Linked DNA regions of Nothobranchius furzeri. The protein of the gene in region 2 interacts with the protein of the main gene of each other region in a pairwise test. Links are inferred from orthologs where the notes say so. Each region holds a gene or a part of one and is shown on either strand. Other genes may lie near its edges.

Region 1 (4,094 bases), on a different chromosome or scaffold from region 2:
AAAAGGTCTTTCTTCCCTGGCAGCTGTGTGATGAAATAAGACACATGCCATAACAACAATCTGTTCTACACAAAACTAGAAAAACTTGTCAACAGAAAGTTCATCGCCTGATTCAATTATTTATAATACCAGAATTGCACATAACTTGATGGTAAGATCACAAAATTCTCTGACGCTATTGTTGGGATGTGGTCAGAGGTGTACCACCTTCAATGACTGTGACAGCTGTTACGTCAGCCCTATAAATCAGTCATTACACAGTTGTACTGATTTTTCCACTATAATAACAGACTGGAGTGCTTGTGAAAAAGGTTTCTGGTGTTTTTCTTGTCTAGCGTTTGTCTAAACCTGATGCTTTGTGGCAAACAGCTGATCTAAGCTAGGTACAGGTATATGCGCGTGTTTTCCTACCTGTTCCAATAGGTAGATGAGCTGATCTCTGACCAATCTCTTTAGCAGAGAGAAGTCTGGGAACTCCGGGGAGTCTCTCCTTGCACTGTGAGCCATTCTCAACCACAACAGGACACGTCATTCAGTCACTGGTGGCACAGAAATAAATACAGTTATAATGCAACAAAGATACGTCCCCAAATTTAAAAAAACCATAAAGCGTGACGATGAGTGTTCCGTTCTCTCCACTACCAGAGTTAGCTTGTAGGCTAAAAACACACAAATCATCTTTGCCTGCACATTGTAAACGAACAGCAAAATGCTGACGTTTGTATGAAATAATTCTGCACAAACTATTACATCATATTAATTTGACTAAAGCTGCATTTTTCTGAGTAAACAGATTAATATTATGTTTTTCTGTCGAAGCCTACCTGCTTCCGTAGCATAATAGTTCGTGCGATCAACTGTTTCCCACCGGACACAATAGAGTGAAGCAACACGCCCTTATCACTGACTTCAAACTTCAATTTATATGTCGATGCTTTTTAAACCCAAACCATCAACAAATCCAGCCTAAACAAGTTAATATTCTTCAACTGCATCTTAGTATTCTGAGGAATTAGCTTAACTCCCACAAAATAATTAACTGTTTTGGTATCGTTTCATCAACAGGAGGAGTCATCATAGCAATCCGGAATGGAAAAAAAAAACTCCCTTAAATCAAGTATTCTTCATTCCGGACTCTTAGTCAAATTCACAGAAGTAGAAAAAACATTGTACAGATAAGATTATTATTGTTATTATTAGCTATTTTCAAGTTTTGGTTTTCAAAGACCCAAAAGTAAAATAAATTTTAGTGGGCGGAGCAGATTGTAAAACACGGAAATGACGTAACACCGATCTGAAACACCGCCGTGCTTGCTTCCCAAACACGTTTATGCAACCTCCCTTAATTTGATCAAACAGAACTGAACATGGATTCAGACGCAGCTTTGTTGTTGGAGGCTGCTGATTTTGCTGCGTTTAAACATCGCGATCAGAGACGCAAAGATACAAACTCAACCCCCTACATTAACCATCCCATCGGTAAGGAGAAAGCTCTGTGTGTGTGTGTGTGTGTGTGTGTGTGTGTGTGTGTGTGTGTGTGTGTGTGTGTGTGTGTGTGTGTGTGTGTGTGTGTGTGTGTGTGTGTGAATTGTAGATTTCATTTCATTACATTATTACGAACTAAGAGGGGAAATATTCCACATATAGCCCCACTAAGTTTTTTTAAACCAGTCGCTGCTGGTTTTAGTAAGGGTTCTACACCAAATGTTATAAATGAGGCACCTGGTGTCTAATTCCAGCACTCATGAGTGAGAGGACGACACATTGGACAGGTCTCCCGTCCATCACAGGGAAACACAGACAAATCATAAAAATAATGCACGTTTGTGTAGCATTTATTAGTCAGGGTCTTCAAAGCACATTACAGTCCAGTCATTCACGCTGATGGTGATACATGTAGCCATGGCTGCTCTGGAGATGGTAAGTGGTCTGTATTTGTATAGTGCATTCTTAGGATTCAACAACCCCCCAAGGCACTTCACAACACAATCAGTCATTCACCCATTCACACACACCATGGTGGGGGATGAGCTGCAATGTAGCCACAGCTGCCCTGGGGCGTACTGACAGAGGCGAGGCCCTCCGATTACAGGCGCCACCGGTCCCTCCGTCCACCACCAGCAGGCGAGGAGGGTAAAATGTGTTGCCCAAGGACACAGTGACTGAACCAAATGGAGCCTGATGGTTCAGACCTGCAACCCACCGATTACAAGGCAAACTCCTAACCCTTACTAGTCGACTAACTAACCACCAGTCACACACTCACACACTTAGGGATAATTTACACTCTAAATTTTAGAGTGTTCAGTTAATACTATAATACTATACTATAATAATATTCTAAGATGACTATGCAGGATTATTTCATCCTAAGTAGTAGAAGAGTGGATCAGGGAGCCCGAGGCATTATCCTAGCACATGGATCAGTCACCGGACTTTTACCCCTTTGAGAATCTTTGGGATGTGCTGATGAAGGTTTTGTGTTGTGGTCTGACTCATCGATACAAGATCGTTACAAAACATTAATGCTACTGGGCATAAATCAATCCATATCATGTGTGACTTATTTTGTTGGGTACTACTTTTTGTCCAGTAGTCCATGTCATTGGCAATTATTATTAAATGAAATCCCAGCTTTGTGGATCAGCGGTGTTTATTAGTTCTTTCTGATGTCTTTGTCATTTAAGGAGTAGCGAGAATCCTCAGCCACGAAGGAGGAGTCACAGACATCAAGGTTTTACAGGTGTGTGGTGACTGTTACACACTCGGGATCAGTCTCCTGACACGCTGAGCTTTTTGTGCTGTCTGTCTCTGCAGGCTGCTTTGCTTCATGACACAGTGGAGGACACCGACACCACCCTTGAAGAACTTGAAGCAAAATTCGGGGAGGCCGTGGCTGGCATTGTCCGAGAAGTGACTGATGACAAAAGTCTACCGAAGCAGGAGAGGAAGCGTCTGCAGGTGGAGCACGCACCTCACTGCAGCCCACAAGCCAAGCTGGTGAAACTGGCGGATAAACTGTACAACCTCAGGGACCTGAACCGCTGCACGCCTGTGGGTCAGTACCTCGCTGTCCTATCAACACTTACAGACTGAAGCTAACGCTGTCCAGGTTGTCTCTTGTGTAGGAAACGGCAGACAGCAGTGTCTGTAAATGATGTTTTTCTACAAGGATGCAGAAAAGATTTGCACACACCCCATAAGTATGGAAGTTTTCTGGAATAAAACCAAACTTGAATTTGTGAAACAGCTTTTAAAACTTTTATTTAGAACACAGCAGATGTTTTATTTCACAGTTTTAACTCCTCAACCTTTTCGAGTTTAAAAAATCTGAGCAAATCAAAACTTAGATGCTGAAACACTAAAAACTGTTGGATATTACCCCTTCATCATCCAACTTTTTGCTGAATGCATGCAATGTAGCTTTGCACAGTAAGTAAATAAATATAAATCTCTGTGATTTTGAGTAGGTTTAAGATTTCTTCACCCGAGCAGTTAGAGTGCGTTACTGCCCTTATCCTTGTAATGCACTGTTTCTTGTTTAGCCACAGCTGTTTGCAGACCAGATGTAAATAGAAAAACTGCAGTTTCCTTTAGAGATTTTTTTGCTGATAATTTAGCTTATATGGGTTTGGTGGAATATCTTTTAAACTAAATTTGGACACCTAAACATGTTAATTTGTAGAAAGATTAGTGCTGGGAGTACTTCAAATTTTGCTGACTTTCAGAAAACTTACTAACTTACTGGTGTGCTGGAGCCACCATCAGGGATATGAAGAGACTGCAGTGTGTTGTACTCTCTGCTGAGAAGGTCATTGGCTGCAAACTCCTCTCTATACAGGACCTGTACTCCTTCAGGACATTGAGGCATACAGGTTGGATCACAGCTGACCCGTGTCACCCTGGACACAGTCTTTTTTGGGCCATTCCCATCTGTACCGGGTCGGCCCAGGCCGGGTAGCCCCAGTCGGCCCCAGCCTGGCCCGGTTGATTCCACACATCCTTGTCTTAAGCCCATGTGGGCTGATTCTACCCACCAATCAGAGGCTTGCTCTAATGGAAGGTGTGAATTTGCTGTCAGCAGTGGGTGTGTT
Region 2 (3,514 bases):
GCTTCCACCTCCTGATCCAGCCTCAGGAGGTCAGACTCAAGCTGGTTCTCGGGCCCTGGTGCTCTGCTTCTCTGAAGACTGAAATCACTGTTGAACCTTGAGATCTCTTGACGAAACATTTCCTCCTCTTCTTTAGACGTTTTCCTTATCTTATCCTGGTGTAAAAAGAGGAAAACTGTTCTGTAGTTTTCCACATATAAATACTACCAGTAACTTATGGTAATATCACTGTAGAGCTAGAAGAGCTAAATCTATTCTCCAAAGACCATTAGAATTCTTTTGATGGCGCACGCCACTGTAGAGTTAGAGAAATGCAAATCAACGCTGACTTTGGGTGGTACAATAATTTTTATTAGGAAAAAGTCCAGTTGGCCTGCCATGGTAAAACTATCCTGGGAAATCTTTGCATCTTTGGGGGGGGGGGGGGGGGGGGGGGGGGGGGGGGCAAGAATCTGGCAATACGATATTGACCACGATACATGGAAGGCAATACGATACATCATGATTCTAAAAGCCGGACAGTACTTGCAATGTTAAAACGGGCTTTAAGTAGAAAACTCGGACCAGATGCTTTAAAGACACAAAGGCCCTGTCCCAATACTCATGCATCCAGCCTTGCACCCCTCAACTGCGAGTTATGTCCAGGGATGCGAGTCCTTGATCCATACTTCATTGAAGCCTGCATCAGTGCAGACTTCAGCGTGGGAATTTTGAGAAGATGATGGAGAAATGGCTCAAATGCCCTTTCCAAAAATATGAATCTTCTATTATAATTATCTAAATCAGTGGTTCCCAAACTTATTTAGATGCACATCCCCTTCTATGTCCCGACCATGTTGACACACCCCCCAGCCCCACATCAGGGCATGGCTATATATATATATATATATATATATATATATATATATATATATATCAGACGTCATGCTAAACCAGGGGTCGGCAACCTGTTCCCATCAAAGAGACATTATTACCCATTTCCCACAGTAAAGATACAAGCACAGAGAGCCGCATCAGATGGATGGAAGAGCCGCATGCAGCTCCAGAGCCGCGGGTTGCCGACCCCTGAGCTAGGGCATGTGCGGAGGACACACACACACACACACACACACACACACACAAGCAAAATATACTTGTTTTCAATTACATTTATTGGGCCCACTTACTTTTTCTTAGGCCCACCCACAAATGAGTTTCTGGCTACGCTAATGGTGACTTTTGACAGACTTCTCTGAGCTCCGCAGCCATTACACTTTTCACCTCGCGCAGCCCCTAGCGGCAGCTCGCGCGCACCACACTTTGGGAATCCCTGATCTAAATAACAAATATAACATTATAAGGTTTCTCTGTTGGAAAGAAACATCACATGTCTGTAACAATATTTTTAACAGTGCAGCTGTGTGTTTTCATACATGGTATGCCTGTAATTGAATCACTTGTTGTCATTCAGTTCATGTCAAGCAGCAAAACACACACAAAAAAAAAACACCGGCTTCCCCGGTTACGAAGACACAATGCTCACTGTTCCAGTTCTGTACTTATTCACTACGCACTCAGAGTGTTATGTGCACTTCCACCAAGTATACGTCACAGAGGACCGTTGCGGTGGCTGCAGTGTAGGTATTGGGACCATAGACATGAATACATAGATGCCCCTTTGGGTGCTGGAAAGCATAAAAGAGTGTTAGGGTTAGGGTGTCCTCCCGCCCCAAAAGCAGTGCAGAGTGGGAATCTATGCCCGTGTATTTGCAGCCTGTGATTGCAACAACCAGCTTACTATTGAAAACAGATCGCATGGGCTTATTATTGACCTTTCTAGCCTAGCAGAAGGGATTTTATATTTTAATGAATTTTGGTTAATTATATTTGTATTTTAATTATCATGCCATACCATGTGTCTGATTAGTTGGGTAGGCACCTTCCTCAGTAGAAATACATGCACTGGGGGTGAATAGAAACTCATCAAAGATGGCGGCCGGCAACTGTGGCTGCTCCAATCGGCAGTGAGTCCACGGGGCATATATGATATCTGTGATTGGGACTGGGCCATCCAATCTTGGCGCAAGAGCTCACTGTTCCCTCAGAACAAAGGCAGCAAAACCTGCTGCCACCTAGCAGTTGGAGTTTGAACTGCACCACACAAAAGAACTATTAGGGCTGCACGATATTAGGAAAGCCTGCAATATGCGATAACAGTGATTAATATTGCGATAACGATATTACTTGCGATAAATAAAAACTACTCAGGAACAAAAATAATCAAAAACAAAGACATTTTTAAAATGGCAACAAAAAAATCATAAGACTAAGAACAGCAAAAGATGTGAGGAAAGGGAAAAAGAAAATGAACAAGAAAAGGCAATCAGTGGATCCCGGGTAAAGCAGAATCAGCAGAAAGAGAAGAACAAAGCTAACTAAGGTGTTTGCTAACCATCAAAATTAAGTACTGTCTGCCTCGGGGCCGGGCATCTAACCTATGAGGACCCACCCAATTGGCCAAAAGGATGAAGAGCTCTATTTGATTTGTTAAAAAAACATTATACTTCAGTTTGACAGAATGCATTATGTGTATCAACCATTTGAGCTGACCATTTAATGCAATATTTATCTGTTCAATGCACTATGCATATTGCAAATGCTAATATCGTGATAACGATATATTTGCGATATACTGTGCAGCCCTAACTACTATGTATGTTAGCATGTAAATATCCAACAAAAAAAATCAATACGCTGGTTTTAAATATCAATTTAGTATCATGACATGAAATTAGTGCTGTCACTATTAGTCGATTTGCCACGATGACGTCGACAAACAAAATAGTCACCAACAAATTCAATAGTCAACATAATTTACTACAAGTGTTGTTTAATTTTTAATCTGCCTGCTGCGGCACCACTACTGCTTTCTACCGCTCTGCTTCGGGCACACGTGCAGTAGTGACCATCCAGGCGAGCCGAAAACGCAGCTCAAATGTTTGGAAGAATTTTACAAAGACAAAAGAGAAGCACGTAGAGTGCAAAAGCTGCGAAGTAGAACTCTCCTTTCACGGGAGTGTAACAGTGATGCATTAACACGTTAAAAGGAAGCCCGTCGTGGCGGAGAATGAAGCGGGGCGGTCGCCTCTGTAAGCTAATTACATCTCGTTAGCTGGGAGGTACTTGTGTTTATGGCAGTAGCAACAATAGTAGTGATTGCAATTTCATTACCTTTAGCACACCTGGGTCACGTATTTGCTCTGAGGTGACAAACACTAATGGTTTATTGCATCCTGCTACAATGTTAAAAACCCGCTCCTCTTCAGTGGATGAGTTTGTTACAAACCAAACCTTCTGACCGAGGCCATTTTGAATATGTTGGTGACAGATTGAGACCCACGTAACAGATCACACTTCAAACTAGAAGCTAATGATGGGTATGCTAGAGCAGCTGTGTCCTGCTGCATTAAGCTATACTTATGCATGACACGATTAGTCGGCTAATCGCCCAAATAACTGAAGATTTGTTGACTAT

Evidence for each region. The genes of interacting proteins can lie anywhere in the genome.
Region 1: the proteins of ccdc172 (region 2) and hddc3 interact in binary tests that used the Homo sapiens proteins (3 or more experiments, as listed by UniProt). The two-hybrid records come from large-scale screens. The link is inferred for Nothobranchius furzeri from reciprocal best matches to the Homo sapiens genes CCDC172 and HDDC3.

What each region holds. Positions count from the first base shown.
Region 1 is NC_091749.1:30,000,067-30,004,160, forward strand, and holds the start of hddc3 (guanosine-3',5'-bis(diphosphate) 3'-pyrophosphohydrolase MESH1), read left to right. Parts: upstream 1-1,289; 5' UTR 1,290-1,367; coding exon 1,368-1,479; intron 1,480-2,687; coding exon 2,688-2,743; intron 2,744-2,817; coding exon 2,818-3,058; intron 3,059-4,094. Other genes in the region: vps33b (vacuolar protein sorting-associated protein 33B), read right to left, coding at 1-23, 412-507. UniProt on the Homo sapiens protein: ppGpp hydrolyzing enzyme involved in starvation response.
Region 2 is NC_091752.1:42,775,355-42,778,868, forward strand, and holds part of ccdc172 (coiled-coil domain-containing protein 172), read right to left. Parts: intron 156-3,514; coding exon 1-155.